Ovis aries: one gene and its partners. The protein of the gene in region 1 purifies or fractionates together with the protein of each later gene. This does not show direct contact. Links are inferred from orthologs where the notes say so. Each region holds a gene or a part of one and is shown on either strand. Other genes may lie near its edges.

Region 1 (10,639 bases):
CCCTTTTCCCACCTTTCCCACCGTGCTTCTTTGAGTGGTGAACAGAATTCCTGCCAGTGACTACTAATTGGGTTAATGGAGTGACTGTGTAATTGTTCTCTCTTCACAGCCCAACCCACCACCCTGGCTGCTTTCCGACTACCTACCTCTCATCTGTTCCAGGATCACTAATTTGCAACAACAACTTCCATTGTCGTCCACATCTGGGGCTCTGGGGTTTTAAGTGAATCTCCCTAAGGCAGAGAACAGAAGATGCTGCTATTTTGGTTTGTCTCATCTACAATAGGACCATTCTCTGGGGTTTCTGGGCAGTGCGGGGCTGCCCGGGTGAAGGGGAAATCTGAGCATTGATGGGACCTAGGCCAGAGCGCAGTGTGCTGAGGGAGGAGAGCAGACAGGGGTAAAATACTGACCTTTTCTTCCCAGCTACTTGGGTTTGCATTTCGTTTTAATCAGTTTCAGATGAAACTGACAAGCCAGCAGCCTCGGGAATCCTGGTGCCCCTGTCATTGCCCTCTGGTCTCTGGGGCATCAGTTGGGCAGCATCTGTCCTGGCCTGACCCAGCTTCTCCCACAGGAGGCAGCATGGATGGTGGCCTTTCTGATCCCCACAACTCAATCGGAGCCTAGTCTCTCTTGTCAGCACGGCCGGACAAGACAAGGCTTTATCCCCCTGTTGGTTTTTGAGGTATGTTCATTCTACTTGAAATCTGTTTCACCTTAAAGGAATCATTGGCTCAGCGGTAAAGAATCCGCCTGCCAGTGTAGAAGATGTGGTTCCCATCCCTGAATTGGGAGCATCTGTTGGAGGAGAGAATGATAACCCACTCCAGTACTCCTGCCTGAAAAACCCCATGAATGGAGGAGTCTGGTGGGTTACAGTCCATGGGATCACAAGGAGTCAGCATGGCTGAGTGACGAAGCACAACACAACAGCAACAGAAGGATCATTACCTGCCCAGACCGCGGCATGTTAGCATTTTAAGAACAGAGTGTAAGGAGGACACTGAGGGACAGCCTCAGGAACTCTGTCATCTGCCTGGGGGGGCGGGTTTGTCAGTGGGCGTGGCTTGAGGGTGCTAGTACCTTTGGTCTCTGAGCCCCCTTGAGCTGGGCTCTGGAAATGGGCTTTGTTTCTTGGGGTGACTTCTATCTCCACCTGCCTTCTATCTTGGCCTGTGTCCCTCCCTCCCTCCCTTTCCCACCCTGTCCCCCCAGGCTCAAGGTGACCCTCACTGTTCCTAGGCAGCTCTGGGCTTCTGATCCACAGAACTGGGCAGTGTGGGATGTGGGTCCTGGGAGTCAGTTCTGGGCTTCACACAGTCACATTCTTGTCTTTACCTTCAGACCACCCGCCCCATCCCCAAACACCTGGGAGGAGGGGATGCTGAGACCTGCTTGAATCCCCATAAACGCTTGTTTCTGCCTCCAGTCTTGATCATTTATAAACTCGCCTTATACCTACACCCTGCTCTGCTCACATTAGCATTCAAGCTGCTCACGCACATCTTTGTTTTCACTGTAGAATGCCTGGCAGGGTGACTGACACAGAAGAGGTGCTCAATCAGTAATTAATTAAACTGGGTTGGAAGTTCCTGACAGTTAAGTAAGAGCTAAGGCTCTTTCTGGAAAGGAAAAGTTGAGACTGAGCAAACGATAAACAAAACGCACCAATACCCGCCTCAGGTAAGGTAGGCGTACGCACTCCATCAGTTCAGTTCAGTCCAGTCCAATCGCTCAGTCGTGTCCCACTCTTTGCGACCCCATGAATCGCAGCACGCCAGGCCTCCCTGTCCATCACCAACTCCCGGAGTTCACTCAGACTCACGTCCATCGAGTCTGTGATGCCATCCAGCCATCTCATCCTCTGTCGTCCCCTTCTCCTCCTGCCCCCAATCCCTCCCACCATCAGAGTCTTTTCCCATGAGCCAACTCTTCACATGAGGGGGCCAAAGTACTGGAGTTTCAGTTGTAGCATCATTCCTTCCAAAGAAATCCCAGGGCTGATCTCCTTCAGAATGGACTGATTGGATCTCCCTGCAGTCCAAGGGACTCTCAAGAGTCTTCTCCAACACCACAGTTCAAAAGCATCAATTCTTCGGTGCTCAGCTTTCTTTACAGTCCAACTCTCACATCCATACATGACCACTGGAAAAACCATAGCCTTGACTAGATGGACCTTTGTTGGCAAAGTAATGTCTCTGCTTTTGAATATGCTACCTAGGTTGGTCATAACTTTCCTTCTAAGGAGCAAGCGTCTTTTAATTTCATGGCTGCAGTCACCATCTGCAGTGATTTTGGAGCCCCAAAAAATAAAGTCTGACACTGTTTCCACTGTTTCCCTATCTATTTCCCATGAAGTGATGGGACCGATGCCATGATCTTCGTTTTCTGAACGTTGAGCTTTAAGCCAACTTTTTCACTCTCCTCTTTCATCAAGAGGCTTTTTAGCTCCTCTTCACTTTCTGCCATAAGGGTGGTGTCATCTGCATATCTGAGGTTGTTGATATTTCTTCCCGCACTCCATAGGGATCATGAAAAGGCTGAAGTCAGCTCTCAGGGATCCGTCTCCGTGGGACCATCTGCTCACCACTGCCCTCCACTGGACACCGCGCCAAAGCAGCCCGGCCCCGTCGGGGCGCTCTCAGGTTTCCTTCCCTCCCCATGCTGGATCCAGCTCCTGGGCAAACCGGTTTTTCTGTTGGCTTCTCTTTCACTCTAACTGTGCTGCACTGAATTCATGAGACCTAGGAAGGCACAGGAGAACTGGGACTTCTTTGAGTCCCGGCGTATCCAGAGTTCCACAAATGCTTAATGTATGAAAATCAACATAATGACCTTTAGTTCCCAACATGCCAGCAGCACTGGGGACTGTTATGATTGCAAATGTAAGAACCCACTTAAGAACCTACTCCTACAACGGTCTACACACCCTATGCTGCCAGCTTTTAGAAGACAACCGAGGAGAACAAAGAAGGACAAAAAGCTTCTGGGAAAGAATTAACAACAACAACAGACCTTCCTCCTTAGAGGAAAGAGGGAGGAAGAACCACTAAATCTTGTGGAAAGGCTCTGTCCTGCACTAGATCCTGTGAGATGACTTCTCTCTCCTGCACTGTGCCACGCTCCTGTCTTTAATTATCGGTATGGGTGAATTTGCCTTATTATCGCTACCCCTTACCTCTTTAGCTTATAAGGATTTTGCCCAACACACTGACCCTTAAAAGTTATTGAATTCCTGGCAGTCAAATATGGTGTATGAGTGGCTAATAATTTGCCAAATGGCAATAGTAAAATAAGTCAAAAAGGACGCATCATATTTATGGCTTACAAATTGCTTCAACTTGCTGAAAAATTGTTTTCGTCTCCCGAAATTGAACTCTGGAGTTAGCCCAAGGCCTGGAAGGCATTTGGATATGAATCTGAAGCTCACGGAAGAACCTGCACTAAGCAGCATAGAGGCGAAAGTGAAAACCCAAATATTGCCCAGGAAAAACTCAGAGGGTGAAATCAAAGTATGATACCTCAGGACCCAGTGTTGAAGGGCAAAGGGAGTGGAGGAGGCTAGGACAGAGCCAGAGAGGGAAAAACCAAAGAGGCAGAAGAAGGAGCAAGGAAGGATGGAGTAAAAAAAACCAAGCGGCTGGGAAATCTCAAGGATGAAAGAGTGGCATGTGCCCTCAGATGCGGTTGAATGATCTAGTCAAGAAAGGATTGAGGGACTTCCCTGGTGGTCCAGTGGCTAAGACTCCGTACTCCCAATGCAGGGGGCCCAGCCTCCATCCCTGATCAGAGAAAGAGATGCCACGTGCCGCAAGGAAGACCCAGTGCAAGGAAATAAAGAAATAAATATAGATGAATATATTTTAAAAATTAAAAAAAAATAAAGGATTGTCAGCTGGACTGGGCAATATGAAGGTCACTAGTGACTCTGAGAGCAGTTAGTGACCTTGTGAAAGCAACTTCATTTGAGAGTTGAGGTGGGGACAGAGTAGAAGGTACTATGGTGGGAATGAGATTGAATGGGAAGCAAGGGCACGGAAACAATCATAGGAGGTAACCAACTTAGGTGAAAGAATAAAAGCTTTCACTTTTGACCTTGCACAGGCTGGACTTCACCAATTCAGCTTTCCTACAGCCACTAGTGACGTGTTCTAAAAATAAAAATTAATCATACCGCGTCCTGTTGTGATTAACATCTGCCGGCTCTCCACTTGCTGAACAATGGAGAGCAAAGTCCAGGGCCGATGTGTTTAGTATAACTTACTTTCTATAATTGTATTTATTTATTTTTGGCTGTACTGGGTCTTCCTTGCTCTGCGACGGCTTTCTCAAGTTCTGGCGGGCGGGGCATTGCTCTTTGTTTCCTTGTGGTGCTTGGGGCTTCTAACTGTGGTGGCTTCTCTTGTTTTAGCGCACAAGCTCTAGGGCGCAGTCTCAGTAGTTGTGGGGCAGGGGCTTAGTGGCTCACCGGCATGTGAGATCTTCCCGGGACCAGGGATAGAAGCTGTATCTTCTGCATTGGCAGGCGGATTCTTTACCACTGAGCCGCCAGGAAAGCCTTAAAACTGATGTTTTACTATACATAAAATATACTTCAACTTGATTAAAGAAAAATACCCTTCTACCTCACTCCATAGCCTGGAGAACAAAGTTCAAATTTCTTCCGGCTTAAGTGATATGATTTCTTCCCATTCTTCCCCCGTGCCCCAAATACGTGCTTGCGTCCTAAGTCGCTTCGGTCCTATCTGACTCTTTGCAACTCTATGGCTATTCTGTCCATGCGATTCTGCAGGCAAGAACACTGGAGTGGGTTGCCATGCCCTCCGGAGAAGGCAATGGCACCCCACTCCAGTAGTCTTGCCTGGAGAATCCCAGGGACGGGGGAGCCTGGTGGGCTGCCGTCTATGGGATCGCACAGAGTCGGATACGACTGAAGCGACTTAGCAGCAGCAGCAGCAGCAGCAGCCATGCCCTCCTCCAGGGGATGCCCACATTAAATACACTACGGATCTAAAATAGGCCTCCTGCCCTGCCCACCTGTTTAACACCCGTCATGTTTCTCAAGATTCAACTTGTGTCATCCCCGTTAGCGTCCTCTAGACACAGATGTCTATCATAGAAAGCTCTCCATTGCACTCTTCTGTTTTTGTCTCGCCTTTTACTAAGCTGTAAGCGAGACAGCTCCAGCGCTTATCACTAAGCCGCTCTATCTTTGCTGAAGAAACCTGGGCTTTATCGTTGTCGTCCAGCCAGAAGGACAGCGGGACAGATCCTCCTCCAGTCCTACAAGGGGCGCTGTGGCAACCTCCATCGTCTCTCCTCTCTCCACCTCTTCGGACCCTCTCCCAGACTCACACGCTTGGGGCTCCGCCTCCTATGCAACATCCCTCCTTCCCATTGGGCAAGAACGATCCAGGCTGACCAATGGAGCGAGGCGTTGGTGCGAGGCGGCGCCGCCATCCTTGAGCTTCTGGGCCCCTGTCTCGGTAGCCGGCTGTGGGAGTTAGGGAGGTAGGTGGGCCGTGCTGCGCCGCCTCCGGTCCACAGCCGTGCCTCTTTCTGTCCTTCTGCCGCGGTCCCACGATGCCGCAGTACCAGACTTGGGAGGAGTTCAGTCGCGCAGCGGAGAAACTCTACCTCGCCGACCCAATGAAGGTAAATCGCAGGCGGAGCCAGTGTCTCTGTCCTAGCTCGGGTCAGGATGTCTTCTCTGGCGTCCGCTCGGCCTCCGGAGCTTCTGCAGCATCCTAGGAGGTGCTGTGTGTGAAGAGAGACGGACTCCGCGCGAAGTCCGATTGTTCTTTTCGTCTCTTCTCTTAAGAAGGGCCCAGTGAAGCCTGAAACCAGCAAAATCAGGGTCAAGTCAGGGCTCTAAGAAGCCTTCCCCCGCCTACAATCCCTGAGCTTCCCTACCGTTGGTTTACGTGTCTCTAAGGGCAGGGCTCCTCCCCTCTGCAGCTTCGGCTTCCTGTGGCGCTTCAGTTCAGTTTCAGTTCAGTCGCTTAGTCGTGTCCGACTCTTTGCGACACTATGGACTGCACCACGCTAAGCTTCCCTGTCCATCACCAACTCCCGGAGCTTACTCAGACTCAGTGTCCATCGAGTCGGTGATGCCATCCAACCATCTCATCCTCTGTCGTCCCCTTCTCCCGCCTTTCCCAGGTCTTTCCCAGCATCAGAGTCTTTTCAAATGAGTCAGTTCTTCGCATCCGGTGGCCAAAGTATTGGAGTTTCAGCATCAGTCCTTCCAGTGAATATTCAGGACTGATTTCCTTTAGGATGGACTGGTTGGATCTCCTTACAGTTCAAGGGACTCTCAAGAGTCTTCTCCCAAGAGTCTTCTCCAACACCGCAGTTCAGAAGCATCAAAGACCCTCATTTGGAGGCATCTACCTCCCGCAGATTAGTGGTTCTTAATATTTTGGAGGTTAGTGCCCTTTAAGAGTAGGAGAATGCACTTAACACATAAATGTTTGTAAACAGTTTTAGGGGGTCCGTGGATCCCTGTGGCCTTCATTGGAGGCTCAGACAGTAAAGAATCTGCCTGCAATGCAGGAGACTCGTGTTTGATCCCTGGGTCAAGTAGATCCCTTGGAAAAGGGAATGGCAACCCACTCCAGTATTCTTGCCTGGAGAATTCCAGACAGAGGAGCCTGGTGGGACTAGAGTCCATGGGGTCACAAAGAGTCGGACACAAAGTGAGCGAGTAACACACACACATGGATCCCTGTAATTCATTCATGGCCCCCATAAAATTATAATAAGCTAACCTCTGACATCGGCTTATCATAATTTTACCAGGGCCGTGAATGAATTACAGGGATCCGTGTGTGTGTTAGTAACCAGAGAAGTTGCAAGGACAAGAATTTAGCATTTGGGTCTTGATTTTTCTTCCTCTTGGTTTTTATTGTCATCTAAATATTATTTGAAATATTGAAAAGCCCTGCTAGCTTTTTAGACCTAGATAAGTAACAAGCCAGAAACAGTCTTAGTTCCATTCTTTGCAATAAAGTGATGTAATAGTAATAAATAATAAAATGAATTAGATACTTGTGAAATTGAGTACTTTGTTTATGACACAATTTCTGGCTCCTCCATTTGGTTGATTTTGTTCGTAGGACCATTTGTTTTCTTTAAGCAGTGTACCGTGAGGACTATACAGGACTTTTGTAGAAGTACCCACAGTGTAAACTAATATTTGGAAAGATAGTAAAGAATATACAAATCCACAGTAAGAGTAATAATACTATAAGAATGTGGTCATAGTTATAGGGAAAATGAAAATAAAATGATTATTATTGAGCATTGCTATGAACAAAGCATGTGTAGAATAGACAGGGGAGGGAGAACCTGAGTTCTTTTCAGAAAATTCCAGTGACCTAAAAACTTGTGCCTTTTCATGATAACCTTCACTGGGTTTTAACTGATTTTTTTTTGATAGGCTGGTAAAGGGATGAGTGGGAAGAGAGCTTGACTGACAGTTGTATTGAATACCTTCCATGTATACAGTTGACAATCCCTTGAGGTAGTTGAATGAACAGTCTTAGATACATTAAATGATTTGCCTGGTGATCATTAAGAGATTAGGCTAAAATTTGAACCCACATCTCTAAACACTGTGTTCATGCTGTTTCTACCAGTCTATACTGCTGAAACTAAAGAAGAAAAGAAATTTTGTCAGAACTCTTTGGGATCTGTTTTACAGAATTCTTTGTCTTCTCTTCCTCTTGATCATATTTATCACCTTTTACCTTTCTCCATTGCATCCGCTCTAAGTAAAGATGGTATTATTGCTAGACCATGTAATAACCTCTTTGTCTGCCTGCTTTTAAAATTCCTTCTTCATTCTCATACATACTGCAGCTATCTCAGACACAAAAATTGAATTCCCAGTTTCCTGTTTTAAAACTAGTTCTTCACTGATTGCTGGTAAAAGTCCCACCTTCCAGGCCCCAGTCTGACCCTCTCTCCAGTCTTGTTGGCTTTGTCTCCCACCATTTCCACCATCCTCAGCCCTAGCTAGCCTCAGAAAGCTACAGGATGCATCATATCTTCATTCAGACTGCTGCTTCAGCCTTTCTCCTAACTTCTTCCCTAAAAGAAAGAAAACAAAAAATGCATTTCTGCAGCCATTTCCATAAATTCTTTTTACACTTTCCCTTCCCCCAATCTAAATTACTTGTTTCCTCCTTTAGCATTTTATGTGTATATGTCTTTCTAGGACTTAATTCATGTTGTCTTATGTTTTGATTATTTAAGTTGGTTGAATTACTAAAAAAGCAAGAACCTTGACTTCTTTTTCTTCTTAGTGGTGTCTGACATGGTAACGTAGGTGCTTTCTAATTTACCAATAGAAAGGGGATTGGGGCTTCCCAGGTGGCGCTGGTGGTGAAGAACTCGCCTGCCAATACAGGAGACTTAGCGGGTTCCAGATCCCCTGGAGGAAGGCATGGCAGCCCACTCCAGTATCCTTGCCTGGAGAATCCTGTGGACATAGGAGCCCGGCAGGCTACAGTCCATGGGACCGCAAAGAGTTTTTTAACTCATTTCTCCTAATGAAGCCATTAAGTATTCTTTTAAACAGGAGTTAAAACTTTACATAGTTGTCATGCTTAGCACTTTTTTAAGTTGGTTTCCTTTTGTTTCCAGAGGACTAATTTTTTTTAATATGTGAAACTGAATTTACTGGCTCAATAAGTAGAATCTTATTAGGTAGTCTAAAGATACTTACACCTACTTAAGTGCTTGTTGAGTTCCCTTTCCTCCCTCACCAAGACAAATCTCAGGATGATATGACCTTTTTTAATTTGCAAACCCAGGAGAGTAGAAGGCATAATGAGAAAAGCTGTAGAAAAAGCTCTAATAGCCCTTTTTATCTAGTTTCCAGAATTATCTTGAGGGTCCTGTGCTGCATTGGAGCCATTTTAAATATATGTTCCTGTTTTGTCTGGTAGATACTTAGCAATTTTTAAAACAGCTAGCTAAAGCTAAACTAGAGTTGTTTATTATATTTTTATTAAGAAGGAACTTGACTCTGCTGTAGTACACTGTTTTGCATCCATCATTTAAAGAAATAAAAATAATGTTCATGGAGGTTGTAAACTCTATTGGGAGCTGTTATCTTTTATTGGAATGTACTAATATCTAAATCATTTTCTTGGCTTCCTAACTGTAGAACACCCAATAGCAAAAGTGCTGTGTAGCATGGCACAGCATGGCACTCCTAACTCAATGTAGGAGTTATTCTAGATGTGGAAAATTGTGTCTCATGTCGTGCCATCATGAGAAAGATACGATTTTGCTGAGTAGTTAGTCTGAGTCCACCTCTTGAGAGTCATGGGGAAATGGAAAGTATGAACTGCAACTGCAGTGCTCTTTCCTGGAAAATGGGTTTGAATTTTACTAGCCATTTCTACTCCCCCCCGCCCTTTTTCCTATCAGTCCTCTGTGGCTAGGTGTGTGGGTATTATAGGGGAGAAGAAAACCTCCTTTACTCTCTTAGGTTTCATAACTGGGGCTCTGCAAATTAAACTGACAAAAGACAGTTTAATAAATAGAAAGACTTTACACTTAACATAGAAGTTTACAAAGAGGAGGAATTTGGGACCTATATACCATCTTAAGGGTGGGAAAGTATGGGAGGGAGGTTGGACAGAGGAAAAGAGATTTGGGGCTTCTGGGAGGGGGTACGTTCTGAGAAGGTGACCAGGGAATGTATAGGCAATATTAGAGTTGTCTGGTAAGGTAGGGAACAAGCCTTCTTCTCTTTTCCCAGGGAGAAGAAACACCTTTACAATTGGGAACTTAGGTAATCTTTACAAAGCTTAATTTATGTCCTGCTTTTGATCAGAAAGGGCAGAGAACTAATTACCTTCAGCTCAAAACTTTCCTTTAGCTGAAGTGGTATACTTTTGAGGTAGCATGCTGTGAATACCCTTCATACATAGTCTTACTGGCAAGAAATGCCAAACCAGTCTTAGACATTCTCTGAATATGGGTGTGCCTTGGGAATTTTCAGTACATCTTTTTAAAGTGGCTGAAAATAAAATACCTGACTTTCTTTTAAGTCTTAAAAATATTGTAGCAATAGGAATGCACAAAATGCTGTTTCCCCTCATTTCAGTCATGATAAGTTTACAGTAAAGGTGCCTTTAGATATTTTGGCTATTAATTCTAAAAGGATCTATTTTATTTTAGCTCACTTGAAGACTAAATTATTTATGAGAAATGTCTTCTGACTTCACTGTTTCTAAATATGTATTTTTATTTCAGGCCCGTGTGGTTCTCAAATATAGGCATTCTGATGGGAGTTTGTGTATTAAAGTAACAGATGATTTAGTTGTAAGTATACATTTTTATTTGTTGCATACTTTCAGATTTGCTTGAGTTAATCATGTGTTTGAAATTATTTACATAGAATTTATGCAGGTCACCCATTAGAATGCTTATTTTGTGTTTCATTCCCAAGACAAGAGCCTTGTTCTTGAAGCTATTTTTGTAGGCACTTGGAAAGATAATTCAACTTGCTTCATTAATACAGTTTGTCAGGTATAGTTTAATAACAGCCAAACAAGAGGAACATAGAGACCAAACATAGATACAGGGGTAAAGGTTTCCTTGTAGATGTGTGAGGAGT
Region 2 (10,557 bases), on another chromosome or scaffold:
TCCAGAATTCTTGCCTGGAAAATCCCATGAATAAAGGAGCCTGGTGGGCTCCAGTCCATGGATCACAAAGAGTCAGACATGACTGAGCGACTAACACTTTCTACTACATAATCACTCAGTTATTGTAGCTGTTAGTTACAGGCTTCCCTGGTGGCTCAGATGGTAAAGAATCTGTCTGCAATGCAGGAGACTGGGGTTCGATCCCTGGTTCAGGAAGGGAATGGCAATCCACGCCAGTATTCTTGTCTGGGGAATTCCATGGACAGAGGAGCCTGGTGGGCTATAATCCATGGGCTTGCAAAAGTTGGACACGACTGAGCGACTAACACTTTCAGCAGCTCTATTACGATGCTGGCTAGAAGTGATGAGTACAAATCCCTGTTTTGTTCTTAGGGGAAAGAATTCAGTCTTTCACCATTAAGTATGATGTCAGCTGTAGATTTTTCATAGATCCCCTTTATCAGGTTGAGAATGTTTCCTGCTATTCCTAGTTTGGTAAGTGTTTTATCAGGAAGAGATGTTGGATATCGTCAAATGCTTTTCTATGTCTCTTGAATAATCATATAGTTTTTCTTTTCAGTTAATATAGTGAATTACATTGCTTGATTTTCTAATGTTAATCTAACAGTGCATTTTGGAATAAATCACTTGTTCATATTATCATTTTTATATATCGTGGCCATTTTCAATACACAATAAATGTGCTGAAAAGTACAATTATTTTTACTTGACAGAAAAATTTTGTTTAAGAGGTATGCATTTGCCCAGTGTATCTTTTTAATTTCTGGAAAAAACAATCTATTTACCTCATATACTTGATAACTTTCACAAATTCATAATGTTTTAATAAAGGTTGGAAAATCTGTAAGTTATGTGGCTACTTCCTCAGTGGTAATACAATGTAGAACTGGAATAGTATGCTGTTTGACAAATGTAACTAGATCCCAGCCTTTGCTTTTTAGATTTAGTAGGAATTTCAAAGAACCTCTAACAACTTTCTAACTGCTGCTAAGCAGCCTGTTCAATGAAGATGTATTTAAAATACAGGAAGCAGAGAACCTTCTAAAAGCTTCTATTCATCTACAATTATCTTCCTTAAATATTAAAATATTTTCTTGATGATTTTATTAATTTCCTTATAGTATACCTCACTTTTCTATCCTTTGTAACTTTTTAAAAATTTATTTTTAATTAGAGGATAATTGCCTTACAATTTTGTGTTGGTTTCTGCCATACAACAATATGAATCACTGTTGAGTATACAATATCCCCTCCTTCTTGACCCTCCCTCCCACCCCACCCTGCATTCCACCCCTCTATGTCATCACAGAGCACAGGGCTGAGCCCCTGTGCTATAGTAACTTCCCACTAGCTATCTATTTTACACATGGTCGTGTATGTATTTGTAACTTGACCCAATAGAAACTTTTACACGTTGTTGGTCTGACATCCTCATTTGTATACGCATATTCAGGAAAAATTCAGAGGCTTCAGAATAGTGTTAACAGACAACTGTTAACAAAATGCAATTGTTAATATGCCTAGTGGGGACCGCACATATAGTTCTGGCTCTCAGTTCCCTTAATAGATTGTAGTTACTCTCCTATATGTTGAAAGCTAAGCCAAGAGTCCATTTCATATACATACACGAAGTAGTATGTATATAAAGAAGTAGAAAAGAACATATGCTCTACCATGAGATTAGAGTCAATGCACTGAGGTCCTGTTATATTTTTTTACTCTTATTTATTTGCAGCGGGAGCTGTCTTTGCGTGCTTTGTCCCTAAACTTTGTTTCATCCCTCCTATGAAGTGAAGTGAAGTGAAGTTGCTCAGTTGTGTCTGACTCTTTGCGACCCCATGGACTGCAGCCTACCAGGCTCCTCCATCCATGGGATTTTCCAGGCAAGAGTACTAGAGTGTGTTGCCATTTCCTTCACCAGAGGATCTTCCAGACCCAGGGATTGAACCTGGGTCTCCCGCATTGTAGGCAGACGCTTTACTGTCTGAGTCACAGGGGAAGTATTTTTCATCCCTCCTATACTAGTGATCATTTGTTTCTAGACCTTTGGTATAAGCTGTACTAAAGTAAATACAGGGCCTATCTTTATTTTTTCTACATCTTCAGTTTATATCAGACGTTGACATGTGCTTATCTCTGTCCTGGTCTACGATTCTGGTTCTATCAGCTTGATTCCAAATGACCCCAGGTCTAGGTATGATAATTCCACTATTTCTTCAGAGACCAACAGTATTATTCTTTCTTCTGTGTATTTAAAATTATTGTGATTTTACTTGTTAGCAATATGTAGTTTTTTTAATTTTCAATAAATTCTATGAAGCTCAAAACCAAAATCATAAAGCCTATTATTAACTCTTGCTATTCCACTAAATGGTATAAAAATTCAAGCAGAGTTATAATTAACAAAGGTCTAAGCAAATATCATATAAGTAAGATATCATGCAATAATTTTTTTCCCCTGGAAGAAGGGAATTAGGGAAATGAAAAATTGCTGATTGGAAGAATCTTTTGTGCTGTATTTAATAAAAAAAAGTACACAATGAGTTTCAGTTCTGGAGGCAATAATGATGATGGTTGTACAATGTAAATGTATTTCATGTCATTGAACTGTACACTTGAAAATGGTAAATTTTATATTATGTATATATTATATTACCACCTAAAAAAGGTTTACCAATAAATTACACTACCTTTTAAGATTTATATTAAAACATACTCCTTCGTCTTAAGCTAAAGAAAAAAAGTACGGTCGCTTAGTTGTGTCTGACTCTTTGTGACCCCATGGACAATAGCCCGCCAGGCTCCTCTGTTCATGGGATTCTTCAGGCAAGAATAAGTGATACTTATTTCTTAAAATATTCATTGTAATAAATATTTTTCAGAAACTCAGTTTGTTTTTTTAAATTGTTTAACAAACTGCTTGAGCACCTCTGACTACAGGATCTGCTGGAGAAAGACAGAACATGGTGTTAGAAAAAGTAGAAACATATTCTTTAGGCAACAGTGTTGGGTCTTCTTGTTTACAAAATCATCATCCAAAACGCACTTTCAGTGATTTCGGAAAAATGGAGTCTCAGCTGATGCCTTTAAAATTGGAGATTTAGATTACAAATGGTTCCACAAAACTGAAAAATCCTGACAGCAAGGATATTTTAGTAATTGTGCAATTGCCAGAAACAGGCAGTAGATGGCAATTTTGCAGGCATCCAGGGGATTTTGGAATAAAAGATCTTATATTAAAAAATACCAATTTTGAATCTTCTTCATAAAGAAGACTGAATGTCAAAGAATTGATGCTTTTGAACTGTGGTGTTGGAGAGGACTCTTGAGAGTCCCTTGGACTGCAAGGAGATCAAACCAGTTACTCCTAAAGGAAATCAATCCTGAATATTCATTAGAAAGACTGATGCTGAAGCTGCAGCTCCAATACTTTACCCACCTGATGCAAAGATCCAACTCATTAGAAAAGACCCTGGTGCTGGGAAGAATTGAAGGCAGGAGGAGAAGGGAACGACAGAGGACGAGATGGTTGGATGGCATCACTGACTGAATGGACATGAGTTTCAGTAAGCTCCGGGAGATGGTGAAGGACAGGGAAGCCTGCCTGCTGCAGTCCATAGGGTCCCAAAGAGTCAGACACGACTGAGCGACTGAACAACAATCTTGAATGTTGTCTGTGTGTAAAAATATGAAGCTACCTCTTTGGTTTTCTCTACTTTCCAGGCTAAATCTCACTAGCAGATGTCCAAAGTAATTTTATTTTGGCATCTTAGCTAAAATGATCTTCCAAAACGTGTAACAGTAATAACAATAATGATAACACCTAAATGATTATTGAATCTAACAACACAAAGAGAGAGAAGTTCCCGGGAGAATGTCATGCCTGAAAGTCTAAAACTGGGAGTCATCAGCAAACAGGAATATTTCATGTCTGGCTGAAAATAAACATGGAATCAACGTTTAGGAGTACAGAAGGAGAGCATGGTTTGGAGGAGCTCTCAAACGAGGAATATCCTATTTTTTTGTGCTTTCACCAGGTTTCACTTTGCTAAAATATAGATCTACCTCCATTCTTCACTAACTCGACCTAATTACCACATTTCAATTCTAACGTGTGCTTTTTTAGTATTACTATTAATATTATTCAAACCAAAGTCTTCCCCTCCCCTCTTTCTCTCTCTCCCCACCCTGGAACAACTCCTTTAAATGTATGGACTATTAAGACTAGTTGCGACTTCCCTGAAGCTGATGGTAAAGAATCTGCCTGCAATGCAGGAGACACGGGTTCAATCCCTGGGTCAGGAAGATCCCCTGGAAAAGGAAATGGCAACCCACTCCAGTATTCTTGCCTGGAGAATCCCATGGACAGAGGAGCCTGGTGGGCTACACAATTCATGGGGCTCGCAAAGAGTCACGACTGAGCGACTAACACACACATTGAGATTAGCTACATGTGACTTTGCCTACAGGGTAAAAAACTTCCAGTTCTACAGTTTAAAACTTATATCGCAAAGGGCTTTTTCAGGTAGTATCCTACTGGTCGCCCCAAATTTGAGAGAATAATGGGGAGGTGGGCTAACCCACTCCTCCCACCTTTTTTTCCTTTAGGAATGAGAGTAGACACTATGCGGCTCTAGCTGCCTAAGTCTGTAGCGGAATCATAAAACCCAGAGCCGGGTCTTTCTGCACCCAGTCCTAAACTGGACTCTTACTCTGCCGATGCTTGCGATATGCCCGGGTCAACCCGCCAGGTAGCAGAGCAGAGACCAGCACCGCTACCCCATGGAAGACTTCTGGCCTCACCCTAGGTCCCCAAGGTCAGCGCCCACCGCATATCCTTGCCCCAACTGTCTGACTCTGGCTCTGATCGCTTACGGGTAGTTCGCATCCACTGCAGAAGCGCTGGGAGGTCTGCCGGAGCCACCGTACGGAGCAGTTGCAGTACTGCGAGCCGCGCGGCGCGGAATTCCATGTTGGAGAAGAAAGCAGAGCAGCGGAAGGTTCGCACTGCGCACGCGCAGGTAGAGGCCGGTTCAGACACCCGATTAGACCCGGCGTGGAACCCGCCTCCCTCGGCTACCAAAGTCTAAGCCCCGCCTCGTACTTGGTGTTCTCACGTGCTCCTGGGACTCCGTACTCTGAGACATCCCTCCCCCCACCCCCACCTTTCATAATTCCCCTCTTAGCTGGTGGTGCTCAGCCAAGTCATTTTTCTTAAGGTGGCTCCTGGAGGCTGGACATCTTTCCTGAGATCGCATCCCTAGAAAGCCTCCTATCTTCTTACTAACTTTAATGCCGCAGATATTAAGTGATAGGAAACGAACGTCAAAGGCCAATGAAGGCAAAGACACATCTCAATACACTCTCGGTAAACACACTGTAGACACGCGCCGAGTGCCCCGGAAGCGGAAGTGTATCCCCTTCTTGAAAGGCTGGACTACGCTGAGTGGTGACGTTTCCTCATTGGGCGGAAGGTTCGGTGGCAGTCGTCGGGCTTCCAGCTGGTGGGAGTTGGCGTTGCGGTACTGGGCGCTGGAACCCTAGTTTATCCAGGTTGGGAAGTCGGGCTGTGGGGTCGCACCTGTCTGTCTGATCCCGGCGTTCCCTGGTTTCCTCCCCCGGCGTGGGGCTTCGCGAAGGTCTCCCGGGCCCCTTCGGGCCACGGCGGTAGCGGTGCCTTTTGCGGTAAGTGTCTGCTTTTTCCCGCCCCAGACTACCGACTGGCAGCTGGGGGCAGCCCCAGTCCTGCTCAGCGGGGTAGACACTCCGGAGGGACTCGGCTGCTTGGGCCACCAGCTTTCGTCGTCGAGACAGTGGTGCGCTGGCCCATTTTCATCTCTTGTCCCTCACCAGAAGTTTTGTTAAAAGATGCGCTGTGACCCTTTAAAATTGTCTTCAGATTTGCCAGAGCCAAATTAAACGTAAGCGATTTCAGCCCTGACTCTGTTTTGCTGTCCTGATCAAGAATTTAGATGTGGCTGCTACTCCGAAAATCTGTTGACTTGTACCAGATTTTATTTTTCCACGTTAACTTGTGTCTAATTAACAAAGTGTCCCGCCTGTAGTAGGCTTTCAAAAATGATTAAGGGATATCAGTTCAGTGCCGTTGACGACCTAAGATATACTGGTGGCTCTGTCCGTAGCATCTGGTGCTACTAGCCGTTTCTTGAAACTCTTTCTCCCCTGTTGACCTTGTTGATGCTGTTCTCACATAGTTCTTTCATATGCTTCATTCAACAAAATATTTACTCTTTCTTAGCTATAAGGATACAGAAATGAATGACTTGAACCCTGGCATTGAGGACCTAACAGTACAGTGATACAGAGACACATAAATATACATTATAATCAAGATGAGTAATGAGAAATTCTAGTAAGGTGTAAAGAGCCATGAGAGCTATGGGAACAAAGATGATGTGCTCTGCTCCTTAGAAGATTTGTGACCTTGAGCAAGTTGATATTCCAATCTAGCCTCAGTTTCCTCATCTACCTTAGTTTGAGAATGGAAGATTAGGTAACATGTTTGGTACCGTGCCTAGAATACAGCAGTGGTGGTGCCAAAGTGGAGGGGAATTATTTCCTTCAAACTTCTTTCCCTTGATTTTTTGATCTGGTCAGTTAGTAGAAAGCTAAATATAAAGTCCTGTGCAAAAGCATCTTCAAGCCCTCCTTCAAAGAGATTGATTACTCCTGTAACTCCACCTATCTGGAAATTCTGGACCTGCCGCTGGAATACAGTAAGATAATCATAAATGGTAGCTTTTAATTTTTTTTTCAATTGATCTTCTTCTGTATGCCTTTGCAAAGGGAATTGGTAAAAGCTTCTCTCCTTCTGATTATTCTCGAAGTCTCAGTGGACTTCTTTTAGTTGGTGGTTCACCATCGCCTTATTCCATAAGCTCTCTCTCAGAGTTCTCATCTACTTCCATGGTATTATTGTTGTATGCCAACCATTTCCACATCTTTTTCTCTAGCCCCTGTTTCATGAAATAGTATTTTAGTTTCTGCAAATTCAATAGGTCTAAAACCAAGTTCACTCCACCTTCTTTTTGTTCCCCTTTTTATTACATATATCCCACTCGTTTTCCTAGTTTATCTCAGAGTTTTGACCTTGGGATTCTAGTTTAATTTTGTGGTATTTGTTCAATTTTAAAAGAATAATACAGTGAACACTAACTATCCAACCTGCTGCTGCTGCTGCTAAGTCGCTTCAGTCGTGTCTGACTCTGTGCGACCCCATAGACGGCAGCCCACCAGGCTCCCCCGTCCCTGGGATTCTCTAGGCAAGAACACTGGAGTGGGTTGCCATTTCCTTCTCCAATGCATAAAAGTGAAGTTGCTCAGTCGTGTCCGACCCTCAGCGACCCCATGGACTGCAGCCTTCCAGGCTCCTCCGTCCATGGGATTTTCCAGGCAAGAGTACTGGAGTGGGGTGCCATTGCCTTCTCCGAACTATCCAACCTAGTAGTAGAATATTGTAAATAGCCTTTAAAGCCCCTTGAATCTTGCCTCTATTAACTCTTTAACTTTCAAATCAGCTTCTCTTTTTTGCGTTCCATTCATTGGTTAATGGCATCACTAACCACCTGGTTATTCAAACTAGGGCCCTCAGTCATTTTTGCCTGTTTCTCCTTCATTCTCCATAACCATTTGATCATTAGGTCCTATAGATTTTGCTTTATGATTAACCCCTAACTTGAGCCCTGTCCCTCTGTTTTGTGTTCGTTCTTAGTTCAAGCTCACATCTCTTGAATAGACTTTTGGAGTATGTTTAGTGTATGTAGTCTCCTTACTCTCCAGTTTTTCTCCCTTCAATGGCTTTGTTACATTGTCTCTAATTTTTAAATTATAGAACAGATTTTTTCATTCTCTTGTTTCCCTTAGTGAGTGTTGCTTCATGCAGTGATTATTAACCCTGGCTGCACATCAGTATAGCCAGTAAAGTGTTTCAAAACATAGGTGCCTTGTTTGGCTCTCCTAATCAAGAATTTAGATGAGGCCAGTTCCCCCATAATCTTCTGATGTTACCATCCCTGGAGATTCTGATTGAATACTTCATTTTTAGCTGACAGGTGTTAGCTGAATGCCATTGAAATTGCCCATTACTTGAGCATATGCCTCATCCCTCCTCATCCATATTTTCAGGCTGTGTTCTTTTTAGCTTCAAGGCAAACTATTTCCAAGGAGTTCTTTTGAGTTTGTTTTAATTTTCCTCCTGGTAACAGTTTACATAAAGATTCTTTTTTATGATTGACTTGACAGCCAGAAAGCATCTTAGAGAATTGATTCCCAGTGTTTTTGAATTATTAGCTATTGTTGCTAATTGAATTTTTGGTATACCTTTTCTGCTATTAAGCCATGAAGTGTTGCAGTGGTTTTATCTTTAGTGTTAAAATGAGTTTTAAAGTTGTCTTAAAATTTGAAAACAGAATCATTGTATTGAAGAGACTATTTCCTCATATTGATTGGTGTAAAATAAGACAGAGAAGTCAGTGGTGGCATGATACCTAATTTATTTTCTGAAGTTAACAGAGGAGTCTTGTCTGTGTTAACGATGTAATTTATTGATTTGAAGTTAGAACTTTGCTCATGCTGGAGCAATTCCTGGAGCACATAGTAGGTGTATAATGAGTGACTGACTGACTAAATACAAGGGGTAATTCTGTCTCAACCTCTAGAATAATATCATTCTAATTCTCACAAAGAGCTCTTTGAAAAATAACTTTCCTCTTAACAAAAAATAATTCTCATAGTCGTTACCAACAATTTGAAAATTATAGGAATGTATTAGAAAATTTAAATTACTATTCACCATCTAAAGATGACAAATGTTATTATTTTCTAGCAGCTTTACTACAATAGAAAAGGGTACAGTTCAGTGGTCTTTAGTGTATTTGCACAGTTGTGCAACCATTCAGGGCTTCCCACGTGGCGCTAGTGGTAAAGAAACCGCCTGCCAATGGAGGAGACTTAAGAGACGCAGGTTCCATCCCTGGGGAAGATCCCCTGGAGGAGGGCTTGGCAACCCACTCCAGTATTCTTGCCTGGAGAATCCCATGGACGGAGGAGCCTGGCGGGCTGCAGTGCACGGGGTTGCAAAGAGTCAGACGCAACTGAGCATGCACAGCCATCACTGCCATCAATTTTAGAACATTTTCATCACTCCAGAAAGAAACCCCATGCCCACTGATACTTCTCATTTCCCCCTAATTCCCAAACCCTAAGCAACCATTAATCCACTTTTCTTTATAGGTTTTTCTCTTCTGGACATTTTATGTAAGTGAAATCATATATTCTTTTGTCACTAGTTTCTTTCATTTAGCACAATGCTTCCAAGATTCATTCAGGTTGTGATGTGTATCAGTACTTCATCTCTTTTGATTATCAAATAATATTCCATTTGGTGGGTATGCCACATTTTTATTTATCCACTCATCAGTTGAGGGATATTTGGCTTTTTTTCCCCCTTCACTTTTTGGCTAGTGTGAATAATGCTTCTAGTGACCATTTAAGTATAATTCTTTGTGTAGATGTGTATCTTCCTTTTTCTCGGATGTACCGAGGAGTGGAATTGCTGGGTCATACAGTAACTTTGTGCATTTAAAATTTTGAGGAATCGCCAAACTGTTTTCTAAAGGGCTGTACCATTTTACGTTCCCACTAGCAGTGTATGAGAGTTCCGATTTCTACGCATTCTCACCAAAACTTGTTATTATTACAGTTATCTCAGTCTGGGTCAAGTGGTATCTGATTGTGCCTTTGATTTACATTTCCCTCCTGGGTAATGTGTTTTTTGGATATTTGTTTAAACAAAATACATGATGTGCAGTTTTGTAATCTGGCTTTTACCTTTAAGTATATTTCTAGCATTAGCAAAGATATTTGCAAAAGATTTTCCCTCATTTCTGCTTTCCTCTTCACTCCTTCCCAAACCATAATTCTTGTGAAAACTTGCCTAAATTATAATGCATTAAAAAGTCTATAGGAGTGTATGCCAAATTATTGTTGCTGGTTATCAAAGGACAAAAAGAGGATTAGGAAAACTGTATTTGTACCTTTAATGTTTCTGTAATGTTTGAATATAATGAATGTGTATCCTCTTGTAATCACAAAACTAAAAAATGAATTATTTCTTTAGAGGACTGAGTATATTCAGAATGAAAAATATTCCTAAATTTGAAAGGCATTAACTTGTATTAGTTATTCAGATATAATCATTTTACCAAGTAACATACCAATAGGTTGCTTTGTTAGATAGTTTACTTTTCTGTGGTTATAGACTATAAATACATATGCTATGTAGAATTTAAAAAATATATATGTGTTTAATATTATAATCAGGAAAGCATATACTGGTTTGGGCTATTGAGTATTTTACAGGAAAGCATATAATGTAGAAATCATTTTTCTAAAGATATTTACTAATAATAGTATATTTATATGTTTAGTTCTTTAGTGTAATATTGATCCAATAAGTTAGTCATTTACTAGGGCATAGAAAAACTTTTTTATTTTTGCCTGTAGAATTTCAAGGAC
Region 3 (9,839 bases), on another chromosome or scaffold:
GTTTTTGTAACATTATATTGTACTTATACTAAAACACACTGAGTTATTGTAGGATAAACTTTAGCTTTTGAAACTCAATTATATAGTGGTTGTTATTAAAGCAATTACTGATTCCTCAAGTTGTCCAGATATGATTTATCCTTAACCTAAAAATATTTGAAGGGCTCATTTTAAACTGAATCTTTTTTAATCACATAAATTTTCTCTATACAGTTTTCATTAGTAATCAAAATTAGTGATGAGTGCCTAGTCTGTAGTTCATCGCATTTGTAGAAACAAAGATGATCTTTTATATTTATATTTTAAATTCCCATAAGTTGAAAATATAAATTTCCACATTTGAATTGTAACGGTGTACCTATACCTGTTTATTTCTTTATTGAGTAAAACAATTTGTTATTGGTTCAGTGAAATGGGACATTTTTTCTTTAAGATTTTAAAAGTGTTCTAATGCTAAAAGTTTGCATTTACAGTAATAAGAGTTTCTGTATTTTACTTTATGGTAATCTGTAATAAATAGTATAACTTACAACATAATGACCTTATGAGTAAGTTTAAATTACTTAAATAAAGCTGGGAGACCATTACTGATACTCTAGAGCAGGCCTATAAGCATTAAATTATTAAATTAAGGGATATTTTTCTGGTCTTTTTCTTTTCGCGTCAACAGCAAACAGTGAAGAGTGTGGTCCTCAGGAGAAAGTTAATGCAGCAGGACCACAGTTTGTGAGTGGTGTGATTGTGAAGATCATTAGCACCGAGCCTTTACCTGGCAGGAAACAAGTCAAGGTAATGCTTTTGAATCCCCATGATAGTTGTTTCTCTTTCTTCGTAAAAACCCCCCTGTGAAAGTGTTTTGAATATGGAAAATAAGGCAAATCAAATTAGAATTTGTTCTCTTGTGGTAAACTGCTTATTGGGTTTGATTCCATAATAACCCTTTAAGTCTGACTTGAAGCAAATTCTGATACCTGAAATTCCTCACTGAATCAAATTTATACTGAATTTAGTTTAATCCTTTATAGGAAAACAGCAATTTGTGCTTATTTTTATTGGTGCCCCAATGGTTGTATATAGGAAAAGTATGAAACCCTACTGTAGTTATTATAGCAAAAGAGGAGATTAAGTTAAATGCTTTTTCCCAATATTTGTTTTCTCAGGGAACCTTTTTTGTTTTTCAGAAAAAATCCAGAGAAACTAGATTTTGGAGCAATACTTAGGGATAAAACTTTCATAAAGATTGAACTAACATTAAAGTTGGTTTGTGATTGTTTCTAAAATAAAACTGTAACTATTTGCTGTTTTCTTATTTGGAGCAAACTAGAGAATTTGTAGTTTGTTTTCATTAGAGCTTTTAGTTTTCAATAAATTCCTAAAAGATTTTGTGACTTAAAAAAAAAATCGGAACTATTTTGAAGCAAAAGGGATAGTGTGCATATTTTTCACTTACTGTAGACTTAATTTTTGTCTGTTAATGAATCCTCTTGAGAATTGAAATTTTCTCCTGAAAAAAATGCAGGATTGTTGTTTTTGGCAAGAAGAGCTTTTAAAAATTTTATTCCTAAAAGTTTTTTTGGTATTTTCAGTCCACACCGATTATTTTAAAATTTTTGAAACAATTACAGGAAAGTGTAAAGTATTTTGACAATCTCCAGAATTTATAGTTTACACTTGAAGTTCCTATCCCTGCAGTTCTCATCGTCTTTTTTCATTTTATACAGTTTATCCCCTACAGCATTTTGTACTAGCATGGCAATATTTGTTATTCCCATACTCTTTTTAGTGGGAGTACCCTATTTACTTTTAAATTTTCTCATCCATTTAAGTGAAACACTTTCTTTTTAATCTAAGTAATGTGTTCTGTAACATAGCAAGTGTATTTATAATTCTTAGCTGAGGTCAGCACCATATGGTATGTTGTTTTGGTTTTCCAGAGACTGTTACCAGTAAACATTTTTTAACTTCTGTAACCATTGAAGTTGCTCATTGTAACCATCTGTAAGCACTGTTTATCTGAAACCCTATCCCTTAAAATCCTGTATCTGTCACTAACACGTAAATCTAGACTCTCACTATAGTATTGATGAGGAATTTTGTTAATCCCAAATTGATATACTAGCTTGCACTTCAAAATTTGGTAGCAAAATAGACTTTGCAATAAAAAGGATTAAAAAATTGAAGATGTAAATGCTGCGGTGGTTAGTCAGATGGCCCACGTTTTCAAAGAAAAATTACTCAAAGTTTGTTATTTTGAATAACTGGAATAGGTTTAATTATATTTATCAGAGAGATTTTATTATCTAAATGGTAATTATGTCAATTACAAATTCTTCATTTTTGATCACCAAAATCATAGAATAAATGCTATTAACCAGGTAAGTACTTACATTTTGCTGGAACAAAAACTGAGCTATGATTCTTACTGCTGTCTGTGAATTGCCCATGTGATAGCCAGGTTAATTTGTCATTCTAAGAAGGGTTTTAAATCTGGAGATTAGCCTGACATTATAATGGATATTTAGTAAATATATCAGTTACAAAACTCTCACTACTACCAGTAAACACATTCAGATTTCATCACTTAATACTTTATATTTCCTTCTTTGTGTTTAAATTAAATACTCATTAACTAGATAGAGAAATGGGAAGAATTGGCAAGTATATTTCTCTCCAGTTTTCAGTTTTTAAATTGAATTTGCCTATAAAGTGTCTATTTTGTGATAAGCAGTGTTTTAAGTGTTGGATAAATTAAGACTTAGTACCTGGCTTGTATTAATATATAAGCATGGATTTTTACTACTTATTCTTTATTATTAACTAAGGCACTTTTCTTATGAAGTAATATTTCCAGGTATTGCTGAGTTCTTTCTGTAATTCAGAATTTTAAAATTCAACATCAAAATGTAATCTAGGGAATCCTCTGGTGGTCCAGTAGTTAGGATTCCAAGTTCTCACTGTGAAAGACTTGGGTTCAGTCCCTGGTTGGGGAACTAAGATCCCACGAGCCAAGAGGCGTGGCCAAATAAATATTTCTTTTAATAAATAAATAGTCTAAATCAGTTGCATCTTGAAATTTTAGGTTTAAACTCAAGGGGTTGAGGTAGGTAGGGCTTGCCTTTTTTTTTTTTTCTTTCAGTTGGGAACCTTCAGTTACTTTAGCTTTATGAATGGAAGTTGATGAATTAAGAATTAGTGTAACATTCCTGCATAATTACCTTGCTTACACTGTAGAACCTGCTGTGAAAAAAAAAATGACTTGGGAATGCAGGAATCTTGTTAATTTGCCCTCACAGCAGGCCTTATAGGTAAAACTTCTCATTGCTACGTGACTCTAAGAGGTTGCTTAGATGTTTTATCAGAGTAAAACCTCTGGCCCTCTCTGTATTCCCATAGACAACTTGAGAACCAAACATCTTTCTGTGCTCCTTGAAACATTTTTCACAAGTGGTTATAAAAAGTTTGCATATATTTTAAGTCCTAAGTGATTCTATCCAGGTAAGTGGAAACACAACTTCTTCCTTAATGCCATTTCAGTTTTGTTTTTCATTTTACTCTCTAACTACACCCAGACATGGAGCCCTTCTTCTAAATTTGAGGGGTAGAGGAAAGTATTTGTACATTCTGTACTATAGATCTTTTCCCTTATGTCACATTCCCATCTAGTACAACTTTAAAGATACTGTTAAATGAAAAACAGTTGTTAGAGTTGATGTTAAATTGGTCCTCAGCTTTGTCCAAGTCCATTCCTAAGAGCATTTGTTTTGAGGTCTTTTTTTTGGTGGTGGTTTGGTTTTTGGTTTGGGGTCTGTTTTGGGCGTCTTTCTTATTAGCTTATGGGATCTTAGCTCCCAGACCAGGAGTTGAGCCTGTACCCTTGGAAGTGAGAGTGAAGAGTCCTAACCACTAGACTGCCAAGGAATTCTCCATTTGTATATATCTTAGAAGCTAACTGGAATGAATCAGTTACTCCTAATTTGAAATGATACATGGCTTAATTTTATAATAGATCCTACACTGGATTAATTTTAGAATTATAATGAAATGTTTTTATTATTTATTTTAAGCCCTTCTAAATTCTAATGCAGGATACTTTGGCAGCAATCTCAGAAGTTGTTTATGTTGATTTGCTGGAAGGAGATACAGAATGCCATGCTAGATTTAAAACTCCTGAGGATGCTCAAGCAGTAGTAACTGCACATTCGGAAATTAAAAAGAAACACTGCTGGAAACTAGAGATTCTTTCTGGTAAAACTTTATAGAACCTCCTCTTTTTTTTTTTATTTTAACAATGCTTATTTTAGGGTGACTGTTTTATAATTTCCAAGTTTGGCAAATGAAACTGGGGGAGGTTTCTTTACACTAATATGTGCAAAAAAGGCATTAAATAACTCAGACAACTATTCTGGTTCTACTGAAAATACAAAGCTATGGATGTGTTTCTTCATTTATATCCTTATGTTCAGTGATAAGCATTTTTGTGTTTGTTTGTTTGTTTAAAGGTGATCATGAACAGAGGTATTGGCAGAAGATTTTGGTAGATAGGCAGGCCAAACTTAATCAACCTCGTGAAAAGAAAAGAGGCACTGAGAAGGTAAATCAGTTCATACTTTGTAATTTTAATTTCTGGCTGTTTTCTTTTATAATTTGGTGGTAAATGATTATTTAAAGATTGTCTTAATGGTAGAAAGCACAGTGTATTTAGAGTGTAGTTTTTAAAGATATGAGTCTCTACAGATAAGATTGAGAAACTATGCATATCATTCCCAATAGCAATGGTAAGCTTTATTCCTTTTTCTCTAGAATAGCTGACAGGGGAAATAAACACGCTTAAATTAGTACATTAAATAATTTATAGAAAAAAATAATAATTTAAAGCAAGTCTCTCAGTAATTTTACTTTTAAGAATTTATCAGATGTTTATTGTTGCTAGTAAGCTGTTTATTCTTTTTAAAAATATTATACGTGTTAAAGTTAGTACATCTTAAAGTGCTTAGAGCAAAATAGGGCATATAATAATTATCAATTTCTAAATGTGTACTGTAAAAATCAGTAAAATCCAAAAAGATGTATGTGCATTATTTTATGAAAAATCATACTTCCTATGTTCTGAGTTTGTTAATTGTTCCTATTTATAAAATTCTTTTTTTTATAATTGGAAAATCAAGTTTTTTTCATCAGTCTTGCATCTCCTAGGATTCATTGGAATGTAAAATGACTTGGGAGGAGGTTTTCTACTGATCTTTGTTAATTCTCTTTCCATGACTGCAGACTGAATTTGTTGAGATAGAGAGACCTCCTTCCTCTTTAAGGACTCTTTCAGGTCTATGAGGTGTTAATTTCAAAGCCTACTTAAGCTTTGATTAACTTAAATGTTAAAATCATTAATCCAGAACTCACAATTGAAATGAAATCACTTTGTTAAATAATATTTTTCCTTCTAATTGGTGTAAAATATCATTTAAATTGTGTGTATTTTTAAAACTAGAAAAAAAGCAGTTTCGTATTTAAGAAAGACTCCATCTATATACATTAAATTTGAGACAAGGAAATATACACTGACAGAGAATGTTGTAAATTGGGTTCAAACCAGTGAGCAGTTCTGTCGTTGAGTTGAAGAGTTCTCATGTGTTAATGAATAGGATCAGGCTTTTAGCATGATTTGTATGTTAGGCAGACATCTGAGAGTATAGAATTCTAGCTAAAGCAGTGAAAGTACTAGTTTGCTCATTTCATAAAATGAAAAAAGGTTCCACACAACCTAGCTCCTCAGAGGAGAGAAGGTTATTCGTTTACTACTTTGTTAATTCATTTAATTAACATTTTTGGTATTGGTTTGTGTTAGCCACTGTTTAACAACTGAGTGTCTAGCCATGAGTAACAAGGTCTCCTTTTTTCATGAGGCTTAGAGTTAATATAGGTCAGATGATGACCAGTGCTGTGCAGAAAACTCAAAAAGTATAATGAGGTACATCAGATGAGGTTCCTTGGGAAGTTCTCTACAGAGGTGACCGTAGTGCAGACCTTAGGGAAGTGAGCAGACAAGCCAGGAGAATTTAGGCGCTCCGCTTGACACTCTGAGGCAGCAGAAAGCACAGAGGTCTTGAAGGGAGATTGTCAGACTGGGAGGCCAGTGTAGCTGGGATACAGGAAGCAAGCAAGCGTGTTAGTAATGGAAAATAAGTGTTTTAGAAAATATTAACAGTCAAAAGTATAGTGTAAATGCCTCACTGACATGCCATTCTACCATTTCTACAGTAGTATACTTGAGTGAAAGAAAAATACTGATAGAAAATCCTGGTTATTCTTTTCACTTTGTAGAGGAGAGGGCTACTGGGGACAGTTTTCTAAGCTCTATTCAGTTTGTAAAGAATTAAAAGACAATTGATAAAGAGATACTTTGTTTTCTATGTATGATATTTTGACATAAAAATCAAGTGCAGATAAATTAAGACCTGTAACAAAAGGTCAGTAAGATGAAGGAAAGACCTGCCATAAGGGGTCTCATTCATTCTACCTCAACCAAATCTTTCTAGTGTACCCTATCACATTAAGCATTTTAGTAAAATTAGATAACAGGTTTTGGAGACACAGTGAGGCTTTTCTCATTTTTCTTTAGCTTGCAAAGCACATTTGAATTTTTTCTTGTTTTTACCGAACTCGTCTTTCCTTTATAGTACTGACAGGTCAGCTATTAAACAGATAAAGATAGAATTCATATAATTTGCGAAAAGCATATGGTTGTAAGTTTTAAACACTTAAGTTTTGACTCCACTGATCAGTTTGCTTTTAGTTTAACCTGAAAGCGACTTCCTAAAAACTTACCACAATTAAAAAACTGAAAAATAAATAATGGTGACTTCCTGCCAATGACCACTTATCACCAGCTTAAAAAAACTATTTTAATGAATAGTCATTAGAATCTGTGTTTATAAGAGAATAAGATTTTCATTTCCTCCAAAGCTAAATATGCTACTTTAGTTTTTCTATCAAGAAAGCTTTTGGGCACTTTTTTTTTTTTTAACTGTATCCAGCTTTATTAAAGATACTTTTCATAAACAATCATGGTATTTCAGGCAGGACATGGGCAGACAATCGTTAACAGTATACAACTTTCAAACTCCCTTCTTCAATGGACTACCAAAATCAGAAAGCCACTATAAAAACCCAGTGAAATCTTCATGTGATGCTCTGAACAGGGAAAGTTTAGAGTGAGGGTTGACATTTCACATTTAGCATGTTGCTTAACAACTTTTCACAAGCCGACCCTGACTTTCAGGAAATGGAAATGAAAATGGCAGAAGTATCACTCTGAGGAGCCGCAGTCTAAAAAAAGGAACTGCTGCTCTTTTGAAGGACGCCATCTCAACGGTGACACTAGAAAGTCCAGATTGCCTGACATACTGGTCATCAATTTTGGGGGGGCACGGGGTTCAGGTTCCAACAGGTCTCTGGGTTTAGTGGAGTCAAGTCTGTGCTGAGGTGGAGAGGGAGAAGAGGACATAAAAACTAAATTTTAGTTTTCCCACACCACAAGGCGTTTGTGCCAAGGTGGCTAATGTGTGTCAACATCAAGGAATCCCTCCTTCCTGGGAACCAAGAGGAAGTCTCTCAAACTAGGCGGGAAAGGTATTTTCCCCCCACGTCAATTCAGCTTCTGAGACATTCTGTTAGTGATGTGCCCTTCCCCAAAAAAACAACAATGAAGTGTTCTGTGTGCTAACAACATAGCTTAAAAAAAAAAAAAAGTAAAACAAAATTCTGCATTTTTATAAAACTTGATAAAAAATAGTATTTCAAACTGTATAGTCACCAGAAGTACACAGTTATCAAAAATGCACACACTTCACTTGGCATCTCCAGCACCTTCAGCTTTCTGTGCCTGGTCTGTTTTGGCGTCTCTGTTTTCTGCAGGGTTATTCCCGTCCTTGCCAGCATCGGCTTTCCCCTTTTTCCCTTTAGGTACCTTCTCTCCCTTCTTTGCAGGGGCCTTTTTAGGCTTGGGCTCTGGCTTTGGAGGATCAGGTTTAGCAGATAACCTTGCAGATCTTCTCTGTGGTTCGTCCTTCACCTTGGCTTTATCTCCTTTAGCATCCCCTTCAGCCTTTCTCTTGGGCATGGTGGCTGCGGCGGTGGGACGGAGGCGCTGGACACGGGGATGCAGTGGGGCGCGGGCTTTAAGTCGATCCAGGGGTCGCTCTCGCCTCTTCTTCACACTGCTCCGCTTTGGGGCACTTTAAATGGTCTTCTTTATTCTGCATAATTTCATTTGCCTTCTGTAAAATTTTTGATTATTTATGTAAGAGTGTAATAATAAGTACTTTTAATAGCAGATCCTTATTTAGAATATTTCTCAAATTTGTAAGCAAAGTGTCTTAATACTCAAACCCCAAGGGACATGATGAAACAAAGATTGGTCTTCAACCCTCCTAAAATGTCAAAAAAAAAATTTTAATTTTATATTGACACATTGGTGATTAACAGTGTTGTATTAGTTTCAGGTGTATAGCAGAGTGATTCAGTTACTACACATATACATGTGTTCTTTTTCAGATCCTTTTCCCATTTAGGTTATTACAGAATACTGAGGAGCATTCCCTGTGCTGAATAGTAGGTCCACGTTGGTGGAATTATGGTTATTTATTAATTAAATAATAACCAAATTATTGGTTATTTTTAATTGAAATTAATTTTAGTAGTCTAGAACTAAAATGCAAGGATCTTAGATAATTCAAAGATTTAATATCTACATTTAATAAGCTCTAACTTAGGTAGTTCTCTCTGTAACTGATTTGACCTGAGCTTAATTATCTCATTTGTTTTCCTCTTCCCCTTTTTAAAATATTTTATTCAAGCTAATAGTTGTGAGATTTTTCTAGTCATAATTATCTTTCTGTTTTTAGGTATCCAGTTCCTTCTAATTTCTGATTTTTTTCTCTGTAGTTAATCACCAAAGCTGAAAAGATTAGACTCGAAAAGACTCAACAAGCAAGTCAACACATTAGATTTTCTGAATATGACTGAAAAAAATTTTTTGTTTACCTCTTCAGATTTCACTGGATACTAGAGCTATTCTTAGGAATATCTTTTTTTTTTTATGGTGGTAATGCATAATGTTTTTCTAAAAGCTACATTTAATTAAATAGTTTTTCTTCAATTTGTAAATACGACTTTTCCTGGAGACAGTTACATTGTTTACCACAGTTGTTCTGTAAACCTTGCGTTTGTTGAAATTATATGACACAAATCAACCTCAAAGTGATTTAGAAAATAAATGTGTTTGAAATTATCATTACGTTTGCTGTTTTTATATTACAAAAACAACATATATGCAAAAATAATACTATCTAAATAGCTTGGAGGAAGTGTTTAACAGAGAATGCTCATTGTGCTTTTTATTTTGTAACTTGCTTTTTCCATTTGAAATATCTTAGATATCCTTTCATGTTGATTTATACAGAGGCGTGTGTGTGATATTTCATTCTGTTTATTGTACTTTGCCTGTCCGAGCTTCCATTGAACTGACCATATGAACTGTTTGCAATTTAAATGTTTTAAACATACTAAGTTTGTTTTCATAAATGAAGTTAAACGTTTTATTTTGATTAGACAAAATAAAATGTACCAGATGCTATAAACAAAGAAAAGAATATCTTTTAGGAACCAGCCTTTGGTATAATTGAAGTGTATCATTTTATTCAGGAAAATCACAGAAGTGAGTGTTGAAGGCCTTCCTAGAACTGAATGTCCAGGGATGTACATGACTGGCATCTTAATCTCTCATCAGGATATCAGGAAAGTACTCTGGATGACCTTGGGATTCATTTCCTTGGGCTACAAAC

What was found.
Region 2: the proteins of SRP9 (region 1) and signal recognition particle subunit SRP54 purify together in Homo sapiens (co-immunoprecipitation; 4 studies listed by BioGRID and IntAct, counting the BioPlex papers as one, with this or other methods). This does not show direct contact. The link is inferred for Ovis aries from reciprocal best matches to the Homo sapiens genes SRP9 and SRP54.
Region 3: the proteins of SRP9 (region 1) and LARP7 purify together in Homo sapiens (affinity purification with mass spectrometry; 3 studies listed by BioGRID and IntAct, with this or other methods). This does not show direct contact. The link is inferred for Ovis aries from reciprocal best matches to the Homo sapiens genes SRP9 and LARP7.

The regions. Positions count from the first base shown.
Region 1 is NC_056065.1:28,083,192-28,093,830, forward strand, and holds the start of SRP9 (signal recognition particle 9 kDa protein), read left to right. Parts: upstream 1-5,467; 5' UTR 5,468-5,586; coding exon 5,587-5,658; exon of another isoform or gene 5,659-5,840; intron 5,841-5,916; exon of another isoform or gene 5,917-5,975; intron 5,976-10,275; coding exon 10,276-10,344; intron 10,345-10,639. UniProt on the Homo sapiens protein: Component of the signal recognition particle (SRP) complex, a ribonucleoprotein complex that mediates the cotranslational targeting of secretory and membrane proteins to the endoplasmic reticulum (ER).
Region 2 is NC_056071.1:43,048,352-43,058,908, forward strand, and holds the start of signal recognition particle subunit SRP54, read left to right. Parts: upstream 1-5,483; 5' UTR 5,484-5,706; intron 5,707-10,557. Other genes in the region: uncharacterized protein LOC101118645, read right to left, coding at 4,897-4,993. UniProt on the Homo sapiens protein: Component of the signal recognition particle (SRP) complex, a ribonucleoprotein complex that mediates the cotranslational targeting of secretory and membrane proteins to the endoplasmic reticulum (ER).
Region 3 is NC_056059.1:13,371,406-13,381,244, reverse strand, and holds the end of LARP7 (la-related protein 7), read left to right. Parts: intron 1-670; coding exon 671-789; intron 790-4,064; coding exon of another isoform or gene 4,065-4,073; exon of another isoform or gene 4,074-4,085; coding exon 4,086-4,245; intron 4,246-4,499; coding exon 4,500-4,591; intron 4,592-7,006; exon of another isoform or gene 7,007-7,843; coding exon of another isoform or gene 7,844-8,116; exon of another isoform or gene 8,117-8,220; intron 8,221-8,940; coding exon 8,941-9,021; 3' UTR 9,022-9,289; downstream 9,290-9,839. Other genes in the region: non-histone chromosomal protein HMG-17-like, read right to left, coding at 7,844-8,116. UniProt on the Homo sapiens protein: RNA-binding protein that specifically binds distinct small nuclear RNA (snRNAs) and regulates their processing and function.